Linked DNA regions of Mus musculus. The protein of the gene in region 3 purifies or fractionates together with the protein of the main gene of each other region. This does not show direct contact. Links are inferred from orthologs where the notes say so. Each region holds a gene or a part of one and is shown on either strand. Other genes may lie near its edges.

Region 1 (3,515 bases), on a different chromosome or scaffold from region 3:
GCCTTTAACCTTGAGTCCCAGGAAAGACTTCGCAGTTGTCCCTTCAGCACAGAGTAGCCATGGATATTAATCCCAGTCACTCTCCTCTCTGAACCCACTATCCTTTAAAGAGAATTCTGCTCAGTGATGGTGTGACACCCTAAACAGAGAGTCCCACCCTCTGTTAATTTACAGTGGTCTGGGCTGAACAAGGGGAGCAGGAGCTATGCACAGCCGCCAAGCATGCCCTTAGGCACCTATATCATCCATGGCTTTTGCTAACCCTACCAGCTCGAGGAGATAGCAGAGGTTAGAAAGAAAAGTATAAACTCTTCAGAAACAAGTCAGTACCACGGCAGGCTGTTCTTTGCCCAGAGCGCCAAGCAAGATAAACCACCACCTTTGCACTTCAGCTGTGACTGGTCCTTTTTGGTTTTAAGTCAACAATAGGGTATTCCTGACATTCGCTATTACCTGAGCAGCTGGGCTGTGACCCGCACGGTTCCTGCCACATGGGAACTGACATTTTAAGCAGGAACAGGATCAACTCCAGCCTGAAGCTTTATGCAAGAGCTTTGGTCCACTCAGGTACTTCTTTCTTTTACCTTCCAGGAGGGTGACAGCGGCTTGTCACTCAGCCAGCCGTGCCTCCGTGGCACTCTGATTGGTCAGGACAGGAACAAAACCATTCTCTGCTGCTGCCACCCACTCTCCAGGGGAGCTAGAGCCAATCGCAGTGCCAAAGCGTTGCCATGTACAGACAGGGGACCTGGCTGACCTGCACCTGCTCTGATAGCAAAGAGCAAAGCCCCAGGGACACGGTCTGCTGGCATCCTAGCCGTTATCCAACCTCTCCCTGACGCAGAGCCCAGCTGTCCCCAGGCTGCCTGCTCAGTCACCTTGCTCACCCGGGCAGCCCGCCTGGCTCCTGACCTCACCAGTGTGCTGAAACCCCAATCTTTCCCAAGCTCCACCCTCACTCTGTCTCCTGCACTTAGCATTCAGTCCCTGTGTCACAGAAAACTCTAGGCAGGAGCTCCCGGGGCGCCCCGCCTCCTGCCTCTGAGGTACCTGGAGGTAATGTGCCTCCTCCTGGAAAGTCTTCTCCAGCTGCTCCACTCTGGCTTGCTGCTGAGCCTGCTCTGCATACAGCTGAGACTGTAAGTTTCGCAGCTCCTTCTCCATCCTCACGATCTTCTTTGAGCTCCCCTTCCGAGTCTGTCTCTTGACGTTTAGGACAGCTATCTGCTTCTCCTGCATCTGTGTTTTCAGCTTCAGCATCCTGGACATGGTCACCTTAAACAGTTCTAAGCTGTTCTGAGATGCTGATGGTCTGCAGGCCTTCTGCTTCTTAGGACAACTGAGTTCCAGGACCTTTGGAAGAGCAGAGCAAGCATGAGGCCCGGCGGCCCTCTCACTCGCCTTCAGAGAAGTCAGCCCAGGACACAAGCATCCCAAGGACTGACTCGATGCGTCACCTTTGCCATGCAACTTCTCTGGCTCAATGGGTTTACTGGCGACATTAGCCAGTGGGCATCTGAGATCTGAGGAGCCCTCGGCTGGAAGATTCTCTAACCCAGGCGAACTGAATTTCCTCTTAGTTCTCGAGCCTTTATGTTTTTCCATTCTCTGGTCATTCTTCGGGGCAAGGCAGGGAGCCAGACTCTCCCAGTCTTCTTCAATGACTTCGTATTCATACTCCGCCGTCTCCCTGCTTTCCAGCGGCACACCGAGCTGGATATGGTCTCCCTTACGGATGCAATAACCCTGTAATGGTGCCAGACGTTCTCTGTTCAGCCAAACACCATTCAGACTCTGGGGAAAAAGAAAGAAAAACAAAAATAAGCTCACGATTTCCCTCCTCTTAATGGAATCTCTCTCTTGCTGCTGCAAAACCTTCTGCCTTTTCAGAAGGAAAACCCTTGAGAACAAACAGAAATGAAAGGGTCGTAAAGCACCATCTCTGGAAAGAGCACTGCGCACACAGTGCTCGCTCTGCCTTCCTACCTATGTCACCTTCATGCCTCCACAGAGAACGCCTGTCTAACAGGCCAAACTCTCCTTTCTAAAACCCAGCGACACACTCAACACTCAAACTCAATCCCTCCTATTGACCTAAACTCCGGCAATGCGTCAAGACTGGAGAAAACGCTCCTAGGGAGGGAAGCAGTGGCACAGCCAACCATGGCCAGGCTCAGGCAGGAGCCACCCACGCTCTGCACGCTGGCCCTTGACAGTGTACAAATGCTAAGAGGACAGTGCAGGACTCTGTACTGGGGAGTCTGATCCAAGGAACACCAGTAGCCGTGTACCTGAGCTATAGTGTAGCAAGCAGAGCTGGGGCTCTCCCTTGGGCTCACAGACCAAATTCAATACTTGGCTCTATTAGCTACATACTTTTAGCAACTCCTCTGTGTCTCAGTTTTGTCTATACAATGAGAAGCCTTGTAAAATGCACAGCACAGCACTCTAATACCGTAAGTCTCAGCTCCCAAACCTCTTGTCTCAGTGAAATGACATTGTTGAGAGCATGGATGGGGAGAGGCTGAGCTCTGGGGTAGCATAGGAAGACTCGGTTCAATCCCAACACTGGAGTCTTGGATTAGACTGCCTGCGTTGGCAATGTGTCCACCATTTAAGAGCTGAATGACACTGGGCAGACTTCCTGTTTGCTTTTTGGGTTGGGTCCCGTGTCTATCAGATGATAATCCTTCTGGTGACCCCTGAGTGAAGTCAGCATGTGGTGCCTTAGAAAACCACCTGGCATAACTGATCTATCACTTTACCTCTGTGCTCACCAGCCTACCAGCTATGAACAGGAATGGCCGCCATAGACTCATTGTGTGTTTGTATGCTTGGATACGGAGTGGAACTATTAGGAGGTGTGGCCCTGTTGTTGGAAGTGTCACTAGGAAGGTGGGCTTTGAGGTCTCCTACACTACAGCTGCATTCAGTGTGACAAGTATCTCCCTACTGCCTGTGGATCAAGATGTAGACCTCTTGGCTCCTGCCTGCCCCCATGCTCCCCACCACAATGACAATAGACTGTAAGCCAGTCCCAATTAAGTATTTTCCTTTATAAGAGTCGCTGTGGCCAGGCGTGGGCATCTAACCACTGTTTAAGCCGGGCGTGGTGACACACGCCTTTAATCCCAGCACTCGGAAGGTAGAGGCAGGCGGATTTCTGAGTTCAAGGCCAGCCTGGTCTACAGAGTGAGTTTCCAGGACAGCCAGGGCTACACAGAGAAACCCTGTCTCGAAAAAAAAAAAAAAAAGAGTCGTTGTGGTCATGGTGTCTGTTCACAGCAATGAAAACCCCAAGTAAGACAGCAAGTAAAGACACCAAGGACAAAATAGATATAAAAACAGCTTTTAGCAGCTATTTGTGAAAAACACAGGACAAGGACACAGCTAAGAATGGAATCCAACAGCACAGCAAAGGGTGCCATGTGGAGGCAGGTTAGCTAAATGGAGTGACAAGCCCTGAGACAGACTGTAGAGCTAACCAGATATTGGGAGGACTCTAACTCTGGGAA
Region 2 (4,167 bases), on a different chromosome or scaffold from region 3:
ATCATTTAATTCCGACACTGTGGAGTCAGAGGCAAGTGGATCTCTGAGTTCCAGGACGGCCAGGGCTACACAGTGAAGCTGTGAGGTGGGAAAAACAGAGGCAAGCAAAGTACTGCTTCCTCGGTTTTGAACCTGACCCAACCACCATCCTTCTCCAGAGAGCACTGCTTTTCATGTATCACTCCAGAGACACTACTCGCTCGGCAAGTATGTTACAGTGTGTCTTAGTCAGGGTTTCTATTCCTGCACAAACATCATGACCAAGAAGCAAGTTGGGGAGGAAAGGGTTTATTCGGCTTACACTTCCACACTGCGGTTCATCACCAAGGAAGTCAGGACTGGAACTTAAGCAGGTCAGGAAGCAGGAGCTGATGCAGAGGCCATGGAGGGATGTTCTTTACTGGCTTGCTTCCCCTGGCTTGCTCAGCCTGCTCTCTTATAGAACCCAAGACTACCAGCCCAGAGATGGTACCACCCCACAAGAGGCCCCCCCCACTTGATCACTCATTGAGGAAATGCCTTACAGCTGGATCTCATGGAGGCATTTCTTCAACTGAAGCTCCTTTCTCTGTGATAACTCCAGCCTGTGTCAAGTTGACACCCAAAACCAGCCAGTACACAATGACCATTTCCCGGGCAGAGCGATATCTTAGGTAACTGTAAAGGCTAGATCCAGCTGCAAGGCATTTTAGGTAAGAATTCTACCACTGAACTATGTTATCAGTCTTATTTTGTTTTTGGACAGTGTGTACACTGTCTCTTCAACAAATATCAAAACATAAAGGATGAAGGTCAGAACTTATCTGCTTCCTGTAGCTAAGAACTTGCCAATCTAACCTAACGTGGAAAAGCATGGGTTAGCCCAATTCAGTCTAACTAGAGGAGGACGCTCTATAGCGTTCAAACAGTGCTAGAACGTTGTCCCGACCCAAGAGTAAAGATTAGGGCATTATCCCCAACACAGGAAACCATTTGCTATGAAGCACCACTAAGATTCTGGGGAAAAGTCCTCAACATCAACACAGAAGGCTGACAGAGACCAGTGTCCCTCGTGTCACACTAAGAAGCTGGTGACCGGGCTGGTGAGATGGCTCAGTGGGTAAGAGCACCCGACTGCTCTTCCGAAGGTCCGAAGTTCAAATCCCAGCAACCACATGGTGGCTCACAACCACCCGTAATGAGATCTGATGCCCTCTTCTGGAGTGTCTGAAGACAGTTACAGTGTACTTACATATAATAAATAAAAATAAATAAATAAATAAAATCTTTAAAAAAAAAAAAAAAAAGAAGCTGGTGACCAAATGATGTGTGTGCCTAGTCGGTCCAAAGCACACTAATGAATTGGAGTGGGGGGTAGTGACTGAATTACAGGCCCCTCACAGCCCTTTGGCTGTCTCACTAGACTAGCCTCAGCCACGCCAAATGCAAATGTCTGCACGGAGTAGAAGGCTACTGTAATGTTCTTTGGAAGCACTAGACAGTGGTGGACTGAAATACAAACTATCTCCAATCATAGACAGATCCACTCGCTCCTCTATGTTCTCCAGGGTGTGATCTTGGTCGACCTACTGGACCTCCCTGTAATAAACACATTTCCTTAGCATTTTTTTTTGTTTTGTTTTGTTTTGAGACAAGGTTTCTCTGTGTAGCCCTGGCTGTCCTGGAACTCACTCTGTACACCAGGCTGGCCTCGAACTCAGAAATCCGCCTGCCTCTGCCTCCCAAGTGCTGGGACTAAAGGCATGCGCCACCACTGCCCGGCTCAGGCAGCGGTTCTAAAGTGAAGCCACCGGTGCCAATGCTTGCTCTGAGAGCGCTCGGGCAGGAGGAGAAATTAGAGAAAAGGAATGACTAGGTTGACTTGCGGAGCCACGTCGAAGAGTGAGCAATGATGGGGAAATTTTTAAGCAAGGCCCTTACAGGCAATTCAAGCCTACAACTGTCCCGGGCTTCCTTTGAGACGCAGTAAACCCGGCTAGATAGAACTGTCACTCCATCGGTAGTGTTTTGCCTAGCACGCCTGAAATCCCTGGTTCGATCCCCAAGGTCCACACGCACACTGAGAGCATGGTGGGGGTGTAAAACACCAGTTAACCCCCCCCCCCCAGCTTCTGGGAGGCGTAGGCAGGAGGGTAAGAAGGTCAAGGTCTTCCTTGACTACACACACACACACACACAGCCTGGGGCAGGCTAGCCTGGGCTACAGGAGACCCCTGTTTGTAAACACAACCACACAAAACCAGTCACTCCCCGGCGGCAATGTCGGGCCTTACATTAGACTGCCAGGGTTCCTTTTAAATTAAAAAAAGGCGCCACCGCGCCCGCCACCGATGCTCTCAGTCTCGGAAAGTGGGGTCCCCTCCCTCCGCTGGGGTGGCACCCCCACGGCTGACACTCGGTGGACTGGGTCCCCGGGACTCAGGGGACTTCGTCGTTCTGGAAGGAGCCAGAACTCCGAGGCCACCGAGGCCGGATCCCGCGCAGCCCTCCGCGGGACCACACCGTCCCCCCGCCACCGCCAACCCCGGCTCCCGGGACCGCCACCTCCCCGCCTCTCCAACTCACGGGTTGTTGTTACTCATGGTGAGCAGCAGGCTGCTGAGGAGCCGCACGTTGGAGTGCAGTCCCGCAGCCGCCATGTCCCGCACGTGGTCTATCACACTCATCCTGCCCGGCAACACCGTGGCCCCCGGCGACACCGCGGCACCGGCAGCGGCGGACAGAACTCCCGGGAACCGAGAGCAGAGGCTCGGGGAAAGTTCCAAAATGGAGACGGCGCCGGGGTCCTTCCGGTCCAGACGCGGCTCCGCCCCCCGAAGATGGAGGTAGCCACGGACGTGCCTGAGTAAAAAGAAGCAGCGGCGAAAGGGTTTTCTCCATCATCATCATCTTCAAAGCCATCCCAGTAGGAATCGTAGTTTTGCTGCGCTAAAGACAGCCTGAGAGGAATGGATGCCTCGCGGAGGCTAGTAACAATGCACAGGAGTTCATCCTAAACACAGCGGAGGCGGAAAACGGACAGTTAAAAATTGAATTTTCGAATCAGGCGCGCAAGGGCTGGCTTTCTCCAACTACGGGAGCGTCCTAGGCGAAGGTGGCACGCCCCCCTCTCCTGGCGACTCTTGTCCCTGTCACTGGGAATAGATTCCTTGGTGCAAGGCATGGCTTGCCCGTCCAAGTGACCCGCTAGATCCAAGTGCGAAGAAAAGATAGTTACAGGGATGAGCTGGATCTCTGATCGCCCCACTGTCAACATCTCAAGCCTTTACGAACTCGTTACTGCATTGCATATTCACAAATCGCAATGCTGAAGCCATTTCCATAGAGGGAGAGAGCCGCCTCAGAAATTAAAACTGCATGCTCTTGCAGGGGAATTCGGTTCCTAGCACCTACCTGGTGGCTCACAACAGTCTGAAAGGCCAGCTCCAGGGCATCCGACTCCTTCCTCTGGCGTCTATGGGCACATACATGCATGTGGTGCACAGACATACACACTCAGGCATGCAGATACTCATAAAAATACATTGAAACAAACAAACAAACAAACAACAACAACTTGGATCTGGAGAGATGGCTCAGTGGTTAAGAGCACCGACTGCTATACCAGAGATCCTGAGTTCAATTCTCAGCAACCGCATGGTTGCTCAAAACCACATTTAATGGGATCTGATGCCCTCTTCTGGTGTGTCTGAAGAGAGCAATGGTGTACTCATATTCAATAAATAAATAACAACGTTGGCAGGGGGTGGTTTAATTCTAGCACTTGGGAGTTGGGCCGATCTCTGTGAGTTAAAGATTAGCCTGGTTTATAGGGTGAGTTCCAGGACAGCTAGGGATACGCAGAGAAACCCTGTTTGAAAACGCTTAAAACAAACAAACAAACAAACAAACAAATAAGTACTTTGAATTGTCAGTCCTTCTTTGCCGACAAGGAAACCAAAACTTTCAAATGTTGAAGCTGGGCAGCCTGAGAGTAAAACCACTTATCAGCAAGGCTAGTTTTGTAAATTCAATCCCCTGTGTGGGAGGAGAGACCTGACTCCTTCACGTTGTCCTCTGAGACAGCCGCATGTGCCTCTCACTCGCACAAAATAAATAACTACATGCAATTAAAATGTAAACAACTGAAGCTGTTTGCTTAAATTTGAGATTCAAGGCCATTTTTTA
Region 3 (4,073 bases):
AGGAACTCAGAAATCCCTCACAGCTGGGCGAGGCGGAGCACGCCTTTAATTCTAGCACTCGGGAGGCAGAGGCAGGCAGATTTCTGAGTTCAAGGCCAGCCTGGTCTACAAAGTGAGTTCCAGGACAGTCAGGGCTATACAGAGAAACCCTGTCTCGAAATACCAAAAAAAAAAAAAAAAAAAAAAAAAAGAAATCCCTCACAAGCTAACAAAAGAACAAAAGTATCTTTAAAAACATACCATAGACAGTAACTGTAAGAAATCAGTTCAATACAATGTGAACTCATGCAACAACATAAAAACAAATTAAGGTAGGAATAACTCAGCTCATACTTACCCTTCCTCTTTTGCAGTTTTGTCACACTCAATATCAAACTGCCATCTTTCAAGGACTTCACCACTTTCAATATTTGAGATGACCACCACCAGTTTCTGAACTGAGCACTTGTACAGCCACTCTGCAACACACAAGGCAGCGCTCAGACTCTAGCCTATGACAGAGACTCTCTTCCAAAGACCCACTCTCGGCCTTACAGAACTCTCACAATTGAACTTCCTTTCTTGCATAAGGAAGACAATTCTCCACTAATAATTTAGCTGAGTTTTAAATTCTCCATATTACTAATAGGCAGAAGGCAGAGCATCAGAACCGTGAACCTGTACTTTCTCTGCAATTCCCAGTGAGAGCATATGACATATACTCATCTAACCACCGCCAGTCACATCTGTGGTGGCTGGTCACAACAGAGACACTATAAGAGCATAAAAAATCGGACTACTCTGGTAGGTGAGGGAAAGATTAGTTTTTACACTAACTGTACAAAGGAGAGGCAAATACAGGTTTTAAATGGGAAGGGCATGCATGCACGCCTGCACACACACACACACACACACACACACACACATGTATATACATGCATACATGGGCAGACTAATTGAAAAGTAAATTCTTTTCAATAAAGTAAATAAATTACATAATTATGAAAAGTCAAGATGCTATGTCATATAAAATCTTACAAGTTAAATTAATGAAACTGTACTTTTAAGAATCAGGAAAGCCACAACTGTGTTTTGGACAGAGTGACCAATTAGCCTTGTGTTTCTAAACTATCATCCTTGCAAGTAAGTGAGCTGCAGGGGGTAAAAGGATCCACAGATACCAGAATTCAAAGCAGATCTTATGCTTAAAAGCCCTGCCGTTTTTGCCTGTGAATTCATATCCAACCTGCACAAGTGTTGATGAATACTCTACTATGGATACAAATAGCAAGGCATGTTTAGAAGTCTGGCCTTAAACTGGACACAGTGGCAAATGCCTTTAGTCCCAGAACTTGGGAGTAGAGCCAGGCTGATCTTTGTGAGTTCAACGATAGCCGGGTCTACATAGCATGTTCAAGGACAGCCAGAGCTACATAAAGAGACCTGTCTCAAAAGCAAAGCAAAACAAAACGGCCTTAAAGACAGATGCCAAGCTAACCATGTTCAGGTGGCCACCAAAAGGCCATTTTAATACTGAAGTTAACAAAAAAAGCAATAAACACTGTTAATGAATTTACAATTAAAACAAACTACAACACCCTTTCACGTACAATAAAACTCAAAGAGAAAAAAAGGCAGTTGCAATGCTTTTAGAATTGGTATTTTGTATGATTTCATTGGGAGCTACAAAGCAAAACACAGAATGGCGAAATCCTTTTAATCGGGTAAAATTTCCAATTTGCTGCAACTGGTTAACCTACAAAACCCACTCTTAAAGCAGCTTAAAGATTCCTAACATCAAGACATTCAGCCTACTTAAAAAGAGGTGGGGATTCCCTCCATTGCTTGCTTCCTCCCAGTTGAGAATGACATTTGAGAAGGCATGTTGCTTTAAGTTACTTGGGACACAAACCTGTAAGATCACACACTGAAAACGTGATTACCTTTTAGCTGTTCCACCACATTATTGAGATACTTTATGAGCTCGGGGTCAGTAGTTGTAAGCAAGGTGAGTCCATATTTCTGCACTCTAGTAAAGGTTTCCGACGGATAAATGCCACGCTGATACAAAATGCTGTTGATGCCAAATGCTGAAAACGAAAGAAATAAAGCCGTAACCGTGTAATAACGTTTAAGTCTCCCAGAAAGCAGAGTAGGCACAAAAAGACACGGAAAACCTTTAACCCAGCAATGTCCAACTTCGCAGGTTTGCTAAGTGTAAATACAGAGCATGTGGTCAGAGGATGTCAACACAGACCCCAGCTTTCAGAGAGCGAGTAAGATGATGACCCAGGTCAGCCCCGTTAGGTTCCAGGAGGCCCAGGCCTGCGCTGGGTGGTGCAGCGTTCCCCGCCCCCGGGAGGATCCGTGGTTCCGTCCTAGCGCGCGTCCTAAGGCCCGGCTCAGCCTCAGCTCTCTCTGGCGGCGGGGGCTGCGCTCAGCACTCACAGAAAAACTCGGCCACGATTTCTGCGCTCCCACGCAGGGTGATGCCTTGCTCTCGGGCGAGCTGCTGTGCCATCACTAGATCGAACGGAGAACACTACCAACCTCACCGCAGACGGCGCCCTAATGGCTTCTAAGCTATTCCCCGCCACCCGGTTCAAAAATAACTACGCAGCCCGCCGGTTGCTCGGTGCGCAGGCGTAATGAGCCCTAAGCCCCACCTACGTCGCCAGTTTCCGGCTGGCTTTGTAACTCCGAATCCCTCCCTAAGGCCGCCTCAGGCTTCCGTTTTGTTCCCTAAGCCCCTCCCACATTAGAGAGCCGGGTCTCTTCAACATTCCGCTCCACATCGGCTCTTCCGCCCTATGCCCAGTTGCACCACGGGTTAAAGCCCCGCCCAAAGCGACTTGTATCCGGCCCTGGCTCCGCCCTCGCTGGCTGACCGAATGAGCAAGCGCAGAGTGGTTGGGGCGTCTTGTTCCAGGTCCTGGTGACCTACAAGGTCCGTACTGTGCAGGACCTCGGATGAGGTGACCTAGAAGCGGCCCAGAGATGGTCCTGAGATTACCTGCCTGTCAAACCCGTGGTCTGAGCATCCCTGAAGCATGGTCTCAGCTTCGAGGATAGTTTCAAGTCTGGGAGAACCTGGTTTTTGGTTTTGTTAAATATGATGAAGGGAACTAGGTGGGACAGAAGCTTAATGATGCTTGTCACCAAGTAGAGAAGCGAACCCCTGCAAATTGTGTACACACACACACACTAATAATCATTTAGTAATGTCTTTATTTTTCTATACTACATAGATTTTATAAGTCCACAAAGGATTTAAATGATAGAGACACTTGATTTCCTTTTTTTTTTTTTTTTTTTTTTTTTTTTTGCAATTAGCTTGCTTTTAAGTTTTTAGTCATATGTACTTTCTTTTTGATCGTTTAAGGCCTATACCAGAGCATGTACGATTACATATGGGATTCATGCTACAGTTTTAATATTGTACAGTAGTATTGTGTCCAGGAGATGGCACATCTTCCAACTATGCTAAATGGTTCTAACTCTGGTACTCAGACTGCATTTTGAAACCAGTTGACTATTAGAGATACTATCATATGCAGGTTTAAGAAGATGGCTCAGTGGGTAAGAGTGACTGCTGTTCCGAAGGTCCTGAGTTCAAATTCCAGCAATCACATGGTGGCTCACAACCATCTGTAATGAGATCTGACGCCCTCTTCTGGTGTGTCTGAAGACAGCTACAGTGTACTTATATATAATAATAATAATAATAATAATAATAATAATAATAATAAATAAATCTTTGAAGAAGAAGAAGAAAGAACAAGGAGAAGAAAGAAGAAGGTTTAGAGCCTGAACTAAACAGATGCCAGGGAAGTTGTATAAACAATACATCAGAGAAAGAAACTGTGACATATGAGGAGGAAAGAAATGGTGGTATAGATAAAAGTGAGGTACTAGCTCTTTCTTACCAAACGGTGGTTGGACTTAATCTAATTTATTTCAGAAACATTAAAAGATCTGGAATCTTTGATGGTTGATTTCTTTCCTATTTCCTTTTGACTGCGTGGTTTAACATTACCTCTCTCCCCATTTATTAAAAGCAATACTATAAAATACTTGAAAAATTCTCAGTTTCT
Region 4 (4,099 bases), on a different chromosome or scaffold from region 3:
CCAACGCTAAGTTGCCAGGCAACCCTGCTGAAGCTCACTACTGACCTTGAATGGTGTACGTTTTCCCCGAGTTGGTGACTCCATAGGTGTAGATGAGCCAGTTCTGCCCTTTGAGCACATCCTTCACCATCTCCTTCATGGTCAGATTGAAGAAGGCCACCTGTCCCACTTCTGGCCCAAATATCTAGAAAGAGACCGATCTCTCAGAAGCCACACTGTTTCTGCCCTCCGTCTCCTGGACCGGACGAGTAGCTACAATCCTCCCTGGAGCCTGCTCAAGCAGGCTTTCCTGATGGACTCCAGTTGTTCCTAAATGCTAAAGCCTCCATCGCCCCGGCTAGTTCAGTTCATCCTAATGAAACACTTAAGGAATGCTGTTAAGTGTAGTGCTGTGCACACACACGGGGTTGTACAGTTGGGTGTAAGCATGGGTTTGGAGACGGTAGATCCAAATCTCAGCTCTGTCTTTACCACTGAATAGCGCTATAGCTTCAGCAAAATCCCCGTCACTGCAATATGTGCCATCGTATTCTTACCAGGGAGAAGAGTAATAGTAATAACATCAGTGGTATCTCATGTACATAAAAGTATCCCACACACTGACTAGCACATAAAAAGGTCTTAAAATTACAGATACAGACACGTAAAGAACCCACACTCGAGTAGAAATCTTTTAAAGAAGAAATACATTTCCTAAATGTTCGTACAGCAGTATTGCATACCTGGGAAAAGGTAAATTTGTGAGTGGCCTGACCAACTCCCCTCTCATTACTCTTCAAGGCAAAGGAGTCTTTGGGTGCCTGCAGCACAAGGGTTTCTGTATTCTCAATGCAGACGCAGCCCTGGAAAGGTAGAAAGCAGGGTTTACCGAGTAAAGGAGCACTCCTGGGAGCCTCTCCTACTACAACCTTAAATCCACCTTAAATCCTACCTGATCTTCCTGTCGGTCCAACTCTGAAGTCAAGAATGGTCGAATTCGAAGGTAAACTTTCACCTTCTCTGAGGTGTCCTCCAGTAGAGCCTGTAACAGATTCTCGAGTTAACCTGTAAGCCAGGACAAACAGCCTAGATCCTAGGAAGCATGCTTCTGCTCCCTCATTCCTCAGTAAGCGTTAAGTGGTCCTGTGCAGCCATTCTTTGGTTCCACATCATTCTAGCACACATGAATTCTGTTACCCTTCCCTGTCCAACACTGCCCTGCAATCCTGGCTTTCCTGAGTAAGAATGAGTTGTTAGAGGCTGGGCATGGTGGCACACACCTTTAATTCCAGCACTTGGGAGGCAGAGGCAGGTGAATTTCTGAGTTCAAGGCTAACCTGGTCTACAGAGTGAGTTCCAGGACAGCCAGGGCTACACAGAGAAACCCTGTCTCAAAAAAAAAAAAAAAAAAAAAAAAAAGTTGTTAGAAAATCACCATATACTAGGTATGATGGCATGTGCTTTTAATCTCAACACTCAACACTAGAGAGAGGGGGATCTGAAGTTTAAAGCCAGCCTTGACTATAATACTATCTCGAAATAAATATTTTATTTATTTATTTATTTATTTGGTTTTTTGAGACAGGGTTTCTCTGTACAGCCCTGGCTGTCCTGGAGCTCACTTTGTAGACCAGGCTGGCCTCGAACTCAGAAATCCGCCTGCCTCTGCCTCCTGAGTGCTGGGATTGTGTGTGCCACCACACCCGGCATTTTGGTCTGTCTGTCTGTCTGTCTTTCCTTTTCTCTTCTCATTTCTTTTTTTTTTCCAGAGCAGAGGACGGAACCCAGGGCCTTGCACTTGCTAGGCAAGTGCTCTACCACTGAGCTAAATCCCCAACCCAGTTTTGATTTTTCAAGACAAGGTTTCTCTGTGTAGTGCTAGCTGTCTTGGAACTCATTTGGTAAACCAGGCAGGCCTTAACTCAGAGATCTGCTATTTCTGTCTCCCAAGTGCTGAGATTAAAAGTATGCACCACAATGCCCAGCTTTACCCTTAATTTTTTAACTGATCTTTCATTTTTTCAGGATTACTGGCTTTTGATCTCATACTACCTTGTATAAACAACTGTTAGCTGAAGATACCACTTTCTGCCCCTAAGCCACTCAACTCCTTTACCTGCTTGTCCTCCAGAGAGGCAGAGATGACAGAGCAGTCTGACAACAGGTCCTTTCGGACAACAGATCTCAGATCTGCAGCTGTGGATTCTAATATGGGAGAGTCTACAACATCCTCATCAGAGAGTAAGCCCGCTGGCGGAGAAAGGATCCGGTGAGACATGACAAGCAGAGTCAGTCTATGTCTAAAAAGAGACAAGAGTAGATGGGTAGAATATTAATACACAAAACCTGCAAACCTGTAGGTTAAAAACAGGCACCTGGTAAGGGGTGGGGTGGGATGCCTAGACTATACACCACTATCAGCTAAGGGGAAGAGAATGAGAACTAGTACAGCCGGAGGCTGCATTTCTGAAGGTAAGTAGGCACGGAGAGATACCTAGTTCTAAAGCAGAACGGAAGGCCACGCTCTACAGAGGTGGTCTACAGGTCCGCCAGCGAGCGTGTTTTAGGATCCCAAGGGTACTTTTCCAACCTTATTCCAAAGACCACGAGACCTAGAGAATTATGGAAGACACAGGAGCCTTCTACGGACGCGCAAGCAGCAGCTGATAACCGGGGCTCCAGCCCAACTTCACTCACCCGAAGACTGTCTGCCTCGCCGCTTCTCTGATCCCAGCTTCTACCCACCCGCGCAGCAAGACTCCTGCGGCTGGAGAGCACAACTCCGCCCACGAGGAACAGCTTTGTTCCTCATACAATGTTTTAAACTGCGCGCTGAGCTTGTCCGGCCAATCAAAAAGCAAAGCCTGAAGGACCCAATCAGCAGAAGGGAGGAGGCAGAGCCTACCGGAAGACCGTTTGCTTTTAATGTGGGTCCGGGTTACCAACTGACACTTCCATGTTGTTCATCCTGGTATTCTTGTCGCTTAATTCTAAATCTAGACGTTTCTTTTCTGAGGCTTCAGCCGCAATCCCTTGTCCTTTATTAGTTAAAAAGCAGATTTTTTTTTCCTAGAGGAACTTCGCTTCTATTAGGGCAAACTGACCCACCCACATTACCCACGAGGCACCGCGAACGGATTCGCACTGTGTTTCCCAGAGTTCCCCGCGTCTGTCGCCAACGTTGAAGACGTCGAAGCCAAGATGGCGACCGGGACAGGCAGTGAGTATCGGCCCCCCTTTTATAGTCAAGGCCTTTGTAGAGTTGAGACTAGCATCCCAATTCTCAGGCGTGAAAGGCGTGGGAGGAGTGGGTTGTCGGAGAGCGCAGAGCTCAGAGATCTGCCTTTCCTGTCGCTTTCGGGACCCCCGCCTGGGGTTTAACAGTGTTGGGAGGAGACGGAGGCTGCGGAGAAACAGCCCGGGAAGCCTTTGTGGGAGGGCTAGGCGCTGCCTAGGGTAAAACGGAAAGGCAGAGTGAAGTGGCCAGCGACTCTGCTGTTTATCTAACCGAGCGGTGAGGAGCAGTCGAGGTGATATGTTAGCTGTAGGCTTTTCCTGCCGCAGGGGAAAACGCGTCTCCCGGAGTTCAGCCATTTTTCTGCTTCCCCAGGGAACCGCTCTATATCCGACGGTTAGGGGGCGGGGCCGTATGTAAACAACTTTATGCAAAGTAGTAGGCCGGCAGTCGGAGCCCTTGGCCGCTGGGAATCGTGGGAAATAAGCCTGCGTTCAAACTGAACGTTTTAGAAGTGTTTTTTAAAAATGAGAACCTTATTACCTTTTTTTTTTTTTAACGTAACACTGCCTTTTTTGTTGTTGTTTTTTGGAAGCAGACCACCTTAAAGCCGTGGCATTTAAACAAGATGTTCTAAAAATGTGTATTCAATAAAAAGTACCGTAGCCAGTAATGGTGATATTTCATTGGAACGGTGAAAAAAAAAATCAAGATTTGTTGATAATAATTGATGTTAGTGGTTCACACTTGGGACGAGTTTGGAATGTATTTATTTTGAGACAGGCTACTATCGTGTGACTGATCCTGGCTGGACTGGAACTCATGCAGACCAGGCTAGTCTCTGCATCCTGAGAGCCGGGATTACTACTCCACAGTAGTCCTGCC
Region 5 (2,421 bases), on a different chromosome or scaffold from region 3:
TACATGGGGCATCATGAGCTGTCCTGAAACTCAGAATGCAAAAGCACTTTCCAGACCTTTAGTTCAGATAGACTGATTTCCGTATTTCTTAACACTCCTCTGTGGCGGTAATTCTGTATTTTCAGTATTTTGAGCAGGTGTCATGCACAGCCTGCACAGGCTGCAAACACCAAGTACCACAGACAAGCATCAGGAGTTTATCGCTTAATACTTCTAGGTGCTAAAGCTCAAGACTGTCTGACTGGTTCCTCACAAGGGAATCTTCTTAGTTTGTGAGCAGTTGTGCTATGAGTTCTCACATGGTACAGAGAGAAAATCATCTCTTTTTCCTCTTCTGAGCAGGACATCGATTCTACCAAATAGACTCCCCCTTAGAGTGCCCTTTAACCTCGATTACCTCCAAAGAGCTGCAGCCTACACAGCTGCACCAAGGTCAGGGCTTGGGCACAGTCCAGTACTCCATGCTGAGCAATTCTTCATTCAGTAGAAAACTGCTGGCAGTAACGCTGTCTGTCATCCATCCACCACGGGAAGCACAGACTCATTGTAGAGAAGATAACTGTTACGTAACAGACAACACACAAACGCTCCCGGAGAGCACAAAGTCCATTTTCACAATGTGGCTTTTTAAGCCTTGCACTTCTGAGTACAGAACCTGAACCACTAAAGTTATAAGGCTTAAAAACTCAGCCTGTCCATCTATTCTCTGAAGTCCAAAGCAATCAATAGTTTTGAAAACAAACCAAAAATCTTTATTTACAAAATGTGAGTTTTAACTGATGTTTTATACATCATATGACACGTGGACAGCACCAGCGTTATCTGTCTTATTTTCAACATGAATTTTAAGCACAGTGAGGCGTATGCAACTGAGTTCCATTGGTTACAAAACAGAAATGCTGCCTTCACTTTGCTGCCATCAGGATTCTGTGCCGCAGTCATTTCTAGGGTGGGTTTCCCTCGGCAGAGGTGGTCACATGACCATCGGCTGTGGGTTCCCAAGCAGCACAGGAGCCAGTCTTAGCAAAGCCCGGACGGGCATCTTCAGGTGTCGGAACCTGTAGAGGAGTTCAGCAAAGCTTGTGCTCCCTAAAGAGACAGAGATGCAGAAGGTGACATCACTACACAGCCGCAGCCACACAGCCCTCCCAAGCTCTGCACACCACACCTGAGCCAGAAAGCCTTCCTTCTACACAAAAGCACCCCAGTGGCAAACCTTGAATTTTTAATTTCCTAAAACAATTAAAGAATTTAAATGTATCCATTCTGTACTTTAGAAATTAACCACTGTGAAAACTTATCTGTGTACATTAAATTCAATTAACTTCAATTACTATAAGTGATTTTGAAAACTGATTTTAATACTTGATTTTTGATCTGTGAGTTCAATCTTTTACAAACAAACAACCTCAACAGACTAAAGACTGAGAGTTAATCTACTGTCTCTTGTTCTTGGTCCCACAGTTTACAAATACTCACTGGAGTGAGGCCTGGATATCTGGGATTTTAGACAATACCCAAGCGATTGTCTACCGAGATCTAGACCCACAGGCACATCGCCAAAGAGTCTCTCAAGCTTCCTCCTCCTTTCCTCCCCACCCCACAGTCCCAGCAGCACGGGTTATACACCTTCCTGTTTCTCTGCACGTGGGCTGCTGCTTTTGTTTTACTTTTTCTTTTTCTCATTCTGCAGTGTTTACTTTCTTATTTGATTAAGAACAGGGTGGGGAGCAAAGAAAGAAAATAGAGGGGGTAAAAGGTAGATAAGAATCTTGCCCCACCAGAAGCCAGGGAGAGACAGCTATTTGGTTTGCAGCAAAGTACGAATGGCAAAGTGTGAACAAGTAGGGATGCAGGAGCACCGTGAGGCAGCACAAATCTAAGCAGCTTAGGCCAGGGGCTGCACTAGCATGGCAGCGTGTGGGCCTGGAGACAGTAGCTGCTGTTACTGTTGTTTATTGTTGTTATTTTTTCCTGAGACAGGGTCCTGTGTGGGCCAAGACCAGCTCCCACCTCACTCTGTAGCCAGAGATGGCCTTGAACTTCTTCCCCTCCAAGGAATTTGATTTCCAAATGCTTAAATTATAGGTGTGGACTACTATGCCCTGGGGAGTGGGTGGGGCTGTTTTTATTGTATGCCACATATTGAATTTCACCTACTTTTCATTGCTGGGTACTTCCATGTTCTTTAGCTACTGGGCTTAGATCTGGGTAGAGTTAGATTTCAACAAAACATGCCTGCAGTTACGATCATAGATCACAACTTATGTTGATCCTTTGAGATTTATAAGATGTGACCACAACATGGTATAGTCCAGAGGTAATTTACTTCCTATGACTGAGGCCATACCCTCCTAAATTCTACTAGGAATTCTTCTAAGAAGCGGTGGGATAGGCACTAGTAAACAACTGGCAAGTTAT

Evidence for each region.
Region 1: the proteins of Mad2l1 (region 3) and Rnf8 purify together in Homo sapiens (co-immunoprecipitation; 3 studies listed by BioGRID and IntAct, with this or other methods). This does not show direct contact. The link is inferred for Mus musculus from reciprocal best matches to the Homo sapiens genes MAD2L1 and RNF8.
Region 2: the proteins of Mad2l1 (region 3) and Anapc7 purify together in Homo sapiens (affinity purification with mass spectrometry; 3 studies listed by BioGRID and IntAct, with this or other methods). This does not show direct contact. The link is inferred for Mus musculus from reciprocal best matches to the Homo sapiens genes MAD2L1 and ANAPC7.
Region 4: the proteins of Mad2l1 (region 3) and Kif20a purify together in Homo sapiens (affinity purification with mass spectrometry; 4 studies listed by BioGRID and IntAct, with this or other methods). This does not show direct contact. The link is inferred for Mus musculus from reciprocal best matches to the Homo sapiens genes MAD2L1 and KIF20A.
Region 5: the proteins of Mad2l1 (region 3) and Anapc1 purify together in Homo sapiens (affinity purification with mass spectrometry; 3 studies listed by BioGRID and IntAct, with this or other methods). This does not show direct contact. The link is inferred for Mus musculus from reciprocal best matches to the Homo sapiens genes MAD2L1 and ANAPC1.

What each region holds. Positions count from the first base shown.
Region 1 is NC_000083.6:29,624,785-29,628,299, reverse strand, and holds part of Rnf8 (E3 ubiquitin-protein ligase RNF8), read right to left. Parts: intron 1,795-3,515; coding exon 1,051-1,794; intron 1-1,050. UniProt on the Homo sapiens protein: E3 ubiquitin-protein ligase that plays a key role in DNA damage signaling via 2 distinct roles: by mediating the 'Lys-63'-linked ubiquitination of histones H2A and H2AX and promoting the recruitment of DNA repair proteins at double-strand breaks (DSBs) sites, and by catalyzing 'Lys-48'-linked ubiquitination to remove target proteins from DNA damage sites.
Region 2 is NC_000071.6:122,421,077-122,425,243, reverse strand, and holds the start of Anapc7 (anaphase-promoting complex subunit 7), read right to left. Parts: upstream 2,801-4,167; 5' UTR 2,667-2,800; coding exon 2,566-2,666; intron 1-2,565. UniProt on the Homo sapiens protein: Component of the anaphase promoting complex/cyclosome (APC/C), a cell cycle-regulated E3 ubiquitin ligase that controls progression through mitosis and the G1 phase of the cell cycle.
Region 3 is NC_000072.6:66,533,954-66,538,026, reverse strand, and holds the start of Mad2l1 (mitotic spindle assembly checkpoint protein MAD2A), read right to left. Parts: upstream 2,807-4,073; 5' UTR 2,501-2,806; coding exon 2,428-2,500; intron 2,070-2,427; coding exon 1,923-2,069; intron 459-1,922; coding exon 338-458; intron 1-337. UniProt on the Homo sapiens protein: Component of the spindle-assembly checkpoint that prevents the onset of anaphase until all chromosomes are properly aligned at the metaphase plate.
Region 4 is NC_000084.6:34,623,638-34,627,736, reverse strand, and holds the start of Kif20a (kinesin-like protein KIF20A), read right to left. Parts: upstream 2,802-4,099; 5' UTR 2,677-2,801; exon of another isoform or gene 2,474-2,676; intron 2,280-2,473; 5' UTR 2,258-2,279; coding exon 2,096-2,257; intron 1,022-2,095; coding exon 932-1,021; intron 843-931; coding exon 723-842; intron 185-722; coding exon 46-184; intron 1-45. Other genes in the region: Brd8 (bromodomain-containing protein 8), read left to right, coding at 3,181-3,199. UniProt on the Homo sapiens protein: Mitotic kinesin required for chromosome passenger complex (CPC)-mediated cytokinesis. Following phosphorylation by PLK1, involved in recruitment of PLK1 to the central spindle. Interacts with guanosine triphosphate (GTP)-bound forms of RAB6A and RAB6B.
Region 5 is NC_000068.7:128,611,975-128,614,395, forward strand, and holds part of Anapc1 (anaphase-promoting complex subunit 1), read right to left. Parts: intron 1,090-2,421; coding exon 974-1,089; 3' UTR 1-973. UniProt on the Homo sapiens protein: Component of the anaphase promoting complex/cyclosome (APC/C), a cell cycle-regulated E3 ubiquitin ligase that controls progression through mitosis and the G1 phase of the cell cycle.